Linked DNA regions of Schizosaccharomyces pombe. The protein of the gene in region 1 purifies or fractionates together with the protein of each later gene. This does not show direct contact. Each region holds a gene or a part of one and is shown on either strand. Other genes may lie near its edges.

Region 1 (6,562 bases):
CGCATTATCACCTCCCTCTTGAGTTTCAATTTGTTCAACCTCCTTTTTTTGGAGAGAAGACTTACCACCTTGTTGATTTAATAATCGCCTAACACGTTCATAAGCAGAGTCAAAATTAGATAAAAAATTCGTATCAGAATGAAGATAGATTTCGCTGCTATACGAGCGATTTTTCTGATTCTCTAAATTGCCAACGGTACTCTCTTTATCCAAAGATGCTTCAGATACAGCATTGCTAGACAATTGCATATCAACACTCGCCAACATTTTCCTCACCCTAGTGCGAGGCGTATCTAAAATATCCTCTTGATCATCATTGATGGAAGCCTCATCAGAAGAATCCATTCTGTGCAACTCATCAGCGTTCTCGTCTAAAGATGCCATAGATTTAAGCACCACAAAGCTCTTATTGAACGAGTAATGGTAGTTGCTTTGCCGCGATACATCTCTTAGTCCTCCTTAGAATTCATCAACAAACGCGACGCGTCTTGACGCGTCGCGACTTTCCAAGCTGCGCTCTATTAACAAGAAAACTACAACATATATACATAAAAATACAGGGTATTAAGAGAATTTATTGTAAAAAAAAAAACATATAGATATCAACTGTATAAAAAGGGATATTTCAATATTAATGTGCCAAAAATTCGGTGAAAATGAAATAAACCAAGGGTGGTTTTCTTTAATTATGTAAAACAAATGTCACGTAGTTGCAGATAAGAGTAAAGCGTTTAAACCATCAATGCTCACATCCGTCTAAAATTTTTAGTTCGAGCAGCATACAGCAATTTGAAACCATTGCAAAGTGCAGTCATATCACCATAAACGTTGCCCTGTAAAAAAAACGCATTTGGAATAACCTTCACCGGCCATGCCGTTACAGGACTATTAACACTAGCTTTGAAACATAAGATAAAGTATCCAGGATGTTGATGATCAAAGCAAAATGCATAACAGGATCGTTTAGGATTTGCCTCAGAATAACTCTCAAGCCATTTTTCGGTTTCCGCTTGTGTACCCTTTCGAAATTTATCATGTATACACATTTCATCTATTTTTTTAGCAATGGCTTTAATATGTAAAACAATCAGCTCATCGAGATCACTGTATTGATAAGTCATTTTTTCAAATCTTCCCTTTACTAGTAATTTCTGACCAATTGTAAACTCATTTTCTTTTTCCAATTCTAACACATCGATATGTTGGTAGGAGCCTTCAGCGACTTTCCATGTAACGACAATATGGTCAGAGCCCTTAGAAGATGGACGTATAACTAGATCGCCAACTTGCATTTTCGACAGATATGCTTCGGCTTGAGAGGCATTTAAATCCTTAAATAACGGGTGCTTAATTACGCGAGCAACTCGTTGTTCAGCCTGTGTTTCGGCCTGCATCCTCTCAGTATCCCGCTTTTCAGCCTCAGTATCCCAATAAGATGTACGATGAGAGCTAGTTTGTCTTTTAGAATTTGCCGATTGTAAAACACTATTTCTAAGTGAAAGATCAACCATAAAATTAGCCTCGTCCAAAGAAATAATTACACCTTCGACTGTTTGACCAACCTGAAGCAATTGGGGAGGGGGTATAAAATCGTCACTCACTTCATCGGCTTTAATATTTCCATCAATTCCACAATCGAGTTTGACGGCAACGAACCTATTAGTAACTCGCCTAACATTCACGGGTACAATTGCATCTGCTTGCAACTCTTCTGGATTTTCTCCGGTTAACATTAGGAAAATTTCCGAAGGTGTCAGCTTATGGAATACATTCCTTTGCTCTCCATAAGGATCCTTCAACTCCAGACGGATCTTTTCAAGAGTGTTTCGCTTCTTCTGGTGAAATTCACGTTCCAGTTGATCAGCATACTCTTCAAGAACAAGCTCATCAAGTTTTCCTGTTTCGTTTTCCTCTAAAAGGTGGTAAACCACCCCTCGATTGGTTTCAAGCTCTTCAATATCTTCCTCGTCAAGTTCTAGTGCATCACTTGCCATTTTTCTAGCTAACTCGTAGTCTTCATTATGTATCCTTGTAGAATCTAAAATATCCATATTGGGATACTCATCATTAGGAATAATGAAGAAAGAAGAGCAATTAATGAAAACTTTTCTCGACATTATTTGTTTTGAAATTAAATCACTACGATTATCAATACGTCCACCGGTAGCAGCGATTTTCTTTAAAACATAATCTGCTTTGCGAGGACCTAATCCCGCTATGTAGGGAAGTATATTAGCTTCATATTTGTTAGTCACTGCTTCGTTAATGTCAATACCCACCAAAGAAGATATATCGACTAACGCAGTTTCCAAGTATTTCCAGAGAACATCAGGGGGAAGCAAATGTTGCCAAGGATCAAATGATAAAGACATCAAATCACGACCCATAGCAGCGTACTCAAACAGAGGGTTTTGTACATACCGAGCCAATGCAACACAGTAGCAAGAAATAGTTGGTAGAGTAGGAAATTCATCAACAGCACGAGTAGAATTCTGATATAGACGAGCGACCTCATCATTCACCATGATTAGATCTACTGGTTCGTGAGACGTTAACGAATCTTGAACGTGTTGACGAATTTTATGAGCAGAAACGCTCATTCCCGAAACACCTATAACATCTGGCTTAACTTTTTCGACAAATTCAGCAAACATTGCTTGATTAGCAAGATCTCGTAGATCGGCAAGTTTTAATGAATCAGTAGGCTCACCCACATCATCAACAAATACGCAGATAATGGCATCAGACGATTCACCTTTTCCATTGGAGACGGCAAGGACTGATGGAATAGTGCCACGATCGAAATTTTTAGTTGAGGGCTCATAGGGAGCTTGATCAAGTCTTGAAAACAATTGATTTCGGCAGCGCATTCCAAGTTCGTCCAGGTATCGAGAACGTAAAGTTTCACGTATGGCATCGGGTGCTAATGCAGAAAACCTTTTAAATACTTCTTTTAATACCAATTCTCTCTGAGCATTCCATTGCATTGCGTTCTCAGAAAAATTATCTGAAACAAAAAGCTCGAGTAAACCTTTAAAAACATCATCAGGATCTTCAAATTCAATCGATAGTTGAATTAAGCCCTCTTCTTCGGCCTTTAACATTTTTAAAAATAGGATTGGCTCTAACTCAAACGAGCCCAAGGGTTTCCGTTTTAAATACTTAAATTCATAATAAGGATGCTCACTACCTATTTTACGGACACCTTTTTGAGTGGCCAAAACAGTAACGACTCCAGCATTGTACAATTTGTCACGGAAAGACTTTCGAAATTGAGGATCATGAATAATTTCCTCTGCTAAAACTCTACGTGCCTTTTGAAGTACCTGCTCAGGTGATGACAGCTCATTTGTCACATAAGTACGACTTAGTTCTTCAGGCGAAAGGGTGTTGTCTTCCACAAAACGGAGACGAGCACCCTGTGCTACGTTGAACGAAAAGTCTTTAGCACTCATACCAAATTCTTTGACGAGATTGTAAAGTGATGATTTTCTAAATTTTTCAAAAAAAGAATACTTCGAACCTTGTGGACGACGAAGACCAGTACCCATCAGTAAGGCACGATCACGGATTTGTTCAGAATAAGTGAAATGTATGTAATCATTAAGGTCATCAATTGCATCAAGAGAGGAAGCAGCTTCACAGAAGGGAACTACTAAATCATCATTAATTCCCAAATCAGAGTACAATTTTAGGATATCTTGCTTCTTAGAATGAAGTGACCAAAACTTGGTGCAAAGGAAAAAAATATTCCACAAATCATTTTGACTTAATAAAGGAGTAATTGTGTTCCTCTCACGATTGTTATGCACTATATAATCACGACGGTGCTGCCATATGAAGGGTACTTCAAGACTATCACGAATAAAGAAGTGAACTACATAGCGAACAGCAGTTTGAAACGGCTCATATAGTTCAGCATCAATATCACGCCTATTTTTTAAGAGATAATCGATAATCCAAGCAACTTGTTCCCTAAATTCATCTTCAGAGCAATCAATGTTCCTCTTCATATAAAGTTGCATACGTTCAGGTTCATCCGTGATTCTTATGATCTCATCCTCCTCGGTAAGCATTTTATCTTTTAGTTCACTGGGCTCAAAAATGGTCTTCAAACTGACAGACTCTTCTAACTCGTCTTCAGCATCTTCATCTTCAAGGGCAAATGCGTAATCTGTTCCATCGCCAAAGACTTCGTATATTTGTATATAATCATCATCCGATATTCCTAAAGCCTCAGGTCGTACTGATTCTATGGGCGGACCAGTCTCATATTTTTCTTCTTGACGCTCTTCGTCTTCAAATTCGTCTTGTTCAATGAAATCTGCAAATTCGTCGATAACGCCAGCGCGGTGGCCTTGCGTGCGATTAGGAGCTTCATCATCGACTTCGTTTTCTTCTTCTTCTTCTTCCTCAGAAAATATGTTTTCAAGAGTCTCTTCTTGATCTCTTCCACGTTTTAAACGTCTCAACTTAGAAAAACGAGAGCCTTGGCCTGTATTCTCCATGACAAGTTCCAGATCTTCCTCATCAAGCATATCTTGATCAGCAGTACTTTCGGCATGCTTCTTACGTTTCTTTTTGCGCCGAATTTCCTGAGGAACTTCGTCTTCTTCATCTTCGACGATGAAACCCTCTCTAACTTGTCGCTCAGCTTCTTCATCAGTTGCAGATTCTTCAGAAGAGTCATTCTCATCATTGTCATTATCTAAAGGAATTCCATCCTTTTCCTCTTCATTGTTGTTGTCATCCACATTTGTGCCTTCTCCATTTTCAGCTGGATAACCATCCTCATTTTTATCACCATTGGTGGTTGGTGACCCGACAACTTCGTTTTCACTCATTCCTATTTCTATAGTGGACGAAGGAACGGCTTCTCGAAGGTTTGCGGTCAATTGTGGCAGAGAAATACAATACTTGAAGATGCGCTTGCTTTAGATGGTGATATTTTAATAAAAGTTAATGCAGCATCATAAAACATTTAAGGAGCACATTAAAATTCACTAGTATGTTATAAGACAACGCAACGTGCTTTGTAGTTCTAACAAATATTCAATCGTACATATAAGCATAAAAATAAAGTGCTTTGCAAGAGCTAATATGCAATGCTGCTAATCTGAATTGTTGTTACAAAATACCACAGTCCTTGATATACAAGACAGACGTTGTTGTTACGATCACGACCATTCGTTGCAATGATTAGTTTTGGCTTTATTTATAGCCGATATCAAACTCCCTTTGAATAACTTACACGGGTATTTACAATAAAAATTATGAAATCCATTATTTCAAACACGTAAACCTTTTGAGCGAAAACAACCCTATTTACCAATATTAAAAGGATGAAAGGAAAAAAAAATTCCCTTCAACCATTCAAAATCCAAGTCATTTGTAAAAGCCAGAAAAACCGAATTAAATAAACCTTTTAAATGAAATCAACTTCTAATATGAACGAAGTTTAGCGGCTCCATCCACGCTCTTTGTCTTGAGAAATAGCTGATGATCTTTGTTTTGAATAAACATCAACGTGATTCTTCTTATTATAACCCGCACGTCGTTCTTTTTTGTCTGTTCGTCCACTAGCACCAATAGTGATATTGACGTTTGGAGGATGAGCAAAACCGAATGATTTAGCAACTTTTGCGAGATCCAATTTATTAATATCAAAGATAGATTTTAAAGAATATGAGGCATAGGCCTGCAAGTAGGAACGGTATCCATCCTTTGCAGACTGCTGCAAATAATAATTTTTGGAAACAAGCTTTTCGAGCTGAGATTGAACATTAGCAACTTTATTGGCAGGAAATTCAAACTCATTCAAAGAAACCTTGGCAGTTTTCAAATAACGAAGGAAACCGAGCTCAGAAGGAGCGAGGAACATAAGGGATTTACCAGTTCCCTTTGTTCCTCTAGCTGTACGACCTACACGATGAATATAATCTCGGGGGTCATCAGGAGGATCGTACTGCACGATCCAGTCAACGGCTGGAATATCTAACCCGCGTGCAGCAACATTGGTGCAAAGTAGTATTCCCTTTTCGGCATTGCAGAATTCAAAAAAGGTGTTTGTACGACGCTGTTGCTTTTGCTTGCCATGAAGATCAAGTACTGGTAAATCTATATAGTTCAGTAATTCTGCCATATATTTGACAGAAGCACAAGATGACATGAAAACAATAACTTTTTTCTTCAAATTGCGTTTTAAGAAGGAAAATAAAAGAAGAAACCGTTTGTCAGAATCAACTACAACATAACCTTGCTCCAATCCTTCAACGGTAGAGGTAGGCTTACCAGAATCAACGTTAACATACAAGGGTCCGGGCTTAAGAGAGATACGAGCAAGATCTTCAACTTTAGTTGTCTGTGTAGCAGAAAACAGGAGGGTTTGTCGATTTTCCGAGGGAAGGATTTTCATGATTTGTCTCATTTCGTCCTCAAAACCAATCTCCAAAATTCTGTCGGCTTCGTCAATCACTAAGGATCGTAAATTGCGGAATACAAATCCTTTGGTATTTTGCAAGTGATCCAGTAAACGACCAGGAGTAGCAACTAATAGGTTAAC
Region 2 (3,947 bases), on another chromosome or scaffold:
CCGTAAACTGGAATGATGGACAAAATTTGGTATACAACTACACATCCAGCCATCCAGCCTAATTTTTCGACCAACTCAAGCTACGATATATCAGTATTGATGAACGTTCAAAGGACTGCCATAGCCTTTTTCAAAATGGAAATACGTACATGAGTTTTGGGTCCTTCGACCTCAGGTAGCAACGAGCTGAGCGGCTTGATGAAATTAATGAAACGAGCTAAATAAGGACATTAGATGGCTTTATTCTATGATACTTCAGATAACTTACCTCCGCCCATGGTTAGGTTTGTCGTGAGTTTTATCTGTCCTGTTCTCGTTTGGTATGGCGAGGTGGATATCTAGTTCAGTGATTTTGCTTTACGAATAATAACGTAGTACGCTTGTAAATTGAGTAAATTGTACTACTGTACAAAACTACTCAAGAACAAACAAATAAACGTTGCATTCATGAAAAGCGTTTATCTCTAATACAAAATTATCAAAAAAAGTAGAATGTTAAAGTAGAGATTGAAATTAATTGAAATAGTTAAAATGAAGGAGTGAGGATAAAAATTAGAGTTTTATTTATGGAGAATTATATACAATCAAAAATAATAAGGATCCCTTTTAAGTGAATTCTAATAATGAATCTCATAAGTCATAAGTAGAAGGTACGGAAACAAGCGTTCATCATACAAACAGTGAAAAAATAAAATTGTAACATTAACCCAATGAATAATTCGACCCTAATGAAAGAGCATTGAAAAATTTTCAATGGACTCATTATATATTATTGTGATGCCTGTTTTAATGATTAAAGTCCACGACCTTCAATACTAACACCACTCTTTTTAGATGATTTACTACGAATCGCCTTCATCTTGGCCTTTAATTTTCGCACTTGTTCGGTATCAGCCGGCTTCATTCGTCCCGCAATAGTCATGGCCGTAGGATTGAGACGAACTCTGGGAGCAACCTGGTATCTTGAATCAATGGATCTGGGAATAACAGTACGACCTGTACGGCTAGCTTGGGCATCATCATTACTTTCAGCAGCAGCAAGGTCTCGACGACGGCGAGTTTGAAACACTTCAGGGTTAAAGGAGGCTACACCAACAGCACGATCACGATAATTAGCACTTCTCTTTATAATGGGACGACTCCATTCGCTAACAAGGTTGTCAGCTATTCTCTTAATAAATGGCTCGGGCTTTTTCGAGATAGTATAAAACAAAACAATACGACCTATTTTACTTTCACGAAGATGTTCTGTCTGGATGGGCAATTTTGTTAAAATGTCCATAAGAGATCGTTGGATATTCAACGCTGGTAACGAACGATCTGGTAAAGGTTCAAGCCACATTCGAACGGAGTCAAGGACGTTATTATCCAGTATAGTATCGTAAAGATGGGTCTTTCTAAGTACAGCATCAACTAGTGGAAGCATCTTTAACTTCTCAGTAGCCGGTAGTTGTTCCGAATTCAATTCAGCATCACGAAGTGCAGCCAAGCGCATTTGTTCGCGTAGACGAAGGACTTCATCATCAGCCATCTGTTCAAGATTGTCTTCATTGGATCGCTTCTTTGTTCGAGTTGGCTTAAGAACAGCGTCCATTTGAAGATCCAACTCTTTTTTTGCGGCTAGCGTGGGATCCAATTGCTTTTGTTCAGTCAAAACTTCTTCTTCATTCTCCCCGAGCTCATTTAATTCATCATTGAGAGCATCAACAGTCGATGAACGCTTACCACGACGTCTACGTGGCTTTTGCTCTTTCCTAACCTTCCTTGGAACTTCAAGGTTTTCTTCAATCGTATTTGGCTCTTGCTTCTTCTTAAACGTAGGTAGATTATAAATAGTAGGTTCCTCAGCTTCACGTCCGATTTTGGATTCGTCAAAGTTTTCAAATTGATTTTCATCCAAATCCGATAATTCATCTTCAGAGAAATCAAGGGCTTCTTCCTTATTATCTAAATCTTCATCCACATGAGTTGTAACATCAGCAACGTCTACTTTCGTATCAATGGTTTGATCATTCTCGGAAGTTTTTGCCTCAGATTCAACTTGCATATTTTCAAGCTCAGCCTTTTCTTCTTCTGACATCTTTGGAGAATCAGAAATTTGACAACTTAATTAGAATTGGGAGTCTGAAAAAATTTCAACGTTTACTGCCGCCAATATGTAGAAGTAATGAAATAGAACTAGCGTAGCCTCCACCATTGTTCAAAAACTGTAGATTTCGGTAATGCATGTATACTGTCAGCAATACTACACTACGCTATGATACACTACTTGCGTATCACTATATGTCACATGTTCTAATTATATATCGTACCATGTATGATACGATATGGAGATTGATCTTAATGATAATCTATTAAGATCTATATTATCTGAATACTATAAATAGAGCTACTGCTGAACCTCGTTCCTCAGTTCAGTTATGAGCTATATTAGTGATAGGTAACATCATAACCTAGTTAATACAATACCTATATCCAGTTGCTACTTATACAACCTGTGTATTGTAATATAATAGATCACAAGGAAAACTTACCGCAGCTCTACGTATCCTTAAATCAGATACCAAACTGCGTAGCTTACAATATAGTGACAAACAACATGATATAATTAACGATGTCTAACGATGCGAGGTGTACCATTCAAGCTATTCTCTGTGTCGGTGAATGTTCCAACTTATTCCAGCTTCTGCCAAACACACAAGCTCTTTCTCGAATAACCGTTAATAAACGTACTATAAAGATGTTTTCTGGTGCAGGACGCCCTAGTAAAGAGCAAATCAAGCAGTATGATAATTTGGCTGTCGGCGTATGTAATTATCTCTCGTATCTATAGCATATTAACGAAATGGATAATTAGGAAATGAAAAAGGGTGCCTCAGTTGCCGCTGTCTTGTTGTTAAGTAAGCTTTTTTAATTGTAATGGTTTCACTTGGTTTTCTAACTTTTATATAAGCTCCTTTTGTTATTTCTTTTTTTCAAAAGATGCGAGCATAAAAACATTTATTCCAAGTGTTGGCTTTTGTGCTATAAAAATGGATGGTTATTGTACGTCGAATACAATTTTATGATCGACTGTATGTAAATAATCAGACAATTTATTTTTACCGTTCTTGATCGAGTCGTAAATTTTACATGAGTGGGTTGAATTATTTGATTTTGAATGTAAAGTCACTAAAAAATGGTTATTATAGAAATCGTTCATGGATTGAACTGGTAGCTAAATGTGTATAGAGAGTTCATAGATTTCCTGTGCGATGCTGCGCCGTTATATGTAATTTTAAGTCAGTAATATCTTTTGGACCACTTGTCAATCAATTGACTCCCAATTAGATGAATTTCTTAAAAAAAATTCGGTTACCAGAAAAATAAAAAAAGGAACCTAACTATGATTTTCATGTTGGTCGTTTCTAATTTAATTAAATACAGAAAATAACGTGAAGTAGGAATTACCGCTATTTTTGTGATTGAGGAACGTGCTCAGTTAATTGCTTGTTCAACGTCGCTAAATCTTCTTGCATCAGTTTTACCACATATGAAAGACCAACTTGATGATCCCTTAAGACGTCCGTAATGACTTCTAGTTGATCAGAATTTTTTCGCCAATCCACTACTCCCTTAGCCAAATTACTTCGCTGATCTTCAGATATCTTTTCTCCTTCAAAAATAAGAGTAATTCTTGCCCATATTTCGTTGAGCCGACCAAAAATTTCAGGATTATTTAGCGATTTTGTTAAATCATCTAATTTTTTACGTAGCTCTTCTTCATTAGGTTTTAGTGCATAACCACGATGTCGTAAAACATGTACTTTAATTGCAAGTCGTAAAATTCTTTCAGACAGACGGACGTGACGATTTTTCGCCTCGGCAAGTTTGATGCTAAAATCAAGGTCGTGTTTGTTACTTAATCTTCCTAAAGTTTCAACAATTTCACGCATCCGAATACGGTA

Evidence for each region.
Region 2: the proteins of spt6 (region 1) and iws1 purify together in Schizosaccharomyces pombe (affinity purification with mass spectrometry, with the first as the bait; one study listed by BioGRID). This does not show direct contact.

What each region holds. Positions count from the first base shown.
Region 1 is NC_003424.3:4,211,960-4,218,521, forward strand, and holds spt6 (transcription elongation factor Spt6), read right to left. Parts: upstream 4,903-6,562; 5' UTR 4,845-4,902; coding exon 747-4,844; 3' UTR 517-746; downstream 1-516. Other genes in the region: mrc1 (claspin), read right to left, coding at 1-384; ATP-dependent RNA helicase Has1, read right to left, coding at 5,459-6,562. UniProt on the Schizosaccharomyces pombe protein: Histone H3-H4 chaperone that plays a role in maintenance of chromatin structure during RNA polymerase II transcription elongation thereby repressing transcription initiation from cryptic promoters.
Region 2 is NC_003423.3:2,378,796-2,382,742, reverse strand, and holds iws1 (transcription elongation factor complex subunit Iws1), read right to left. Parts: upstream 2,127-3,947; 5' UTR 2,081-2,126; coding exon 794-2,080; 3' UTR 501-793; downstream 1-500. Other genes in the region: sec6102 (translocon subunit Sec61-like protein), read right to left, coding at 1-80, 150-217, 269-278; TOM complex subunit Tom5, read left to right, coding at 2,741-2,806, 2,858-2,900, 2,954-2,994; nucleoporin Nup44, read right to left, coding at 3,453-3,947. UniProt on the Schizosaccharomyces pombe protein: Transcription factor involved in RNA polymerase II transcription regulation. May function in both SPT15/TBP post-recruitment and recruitment steps of transcription.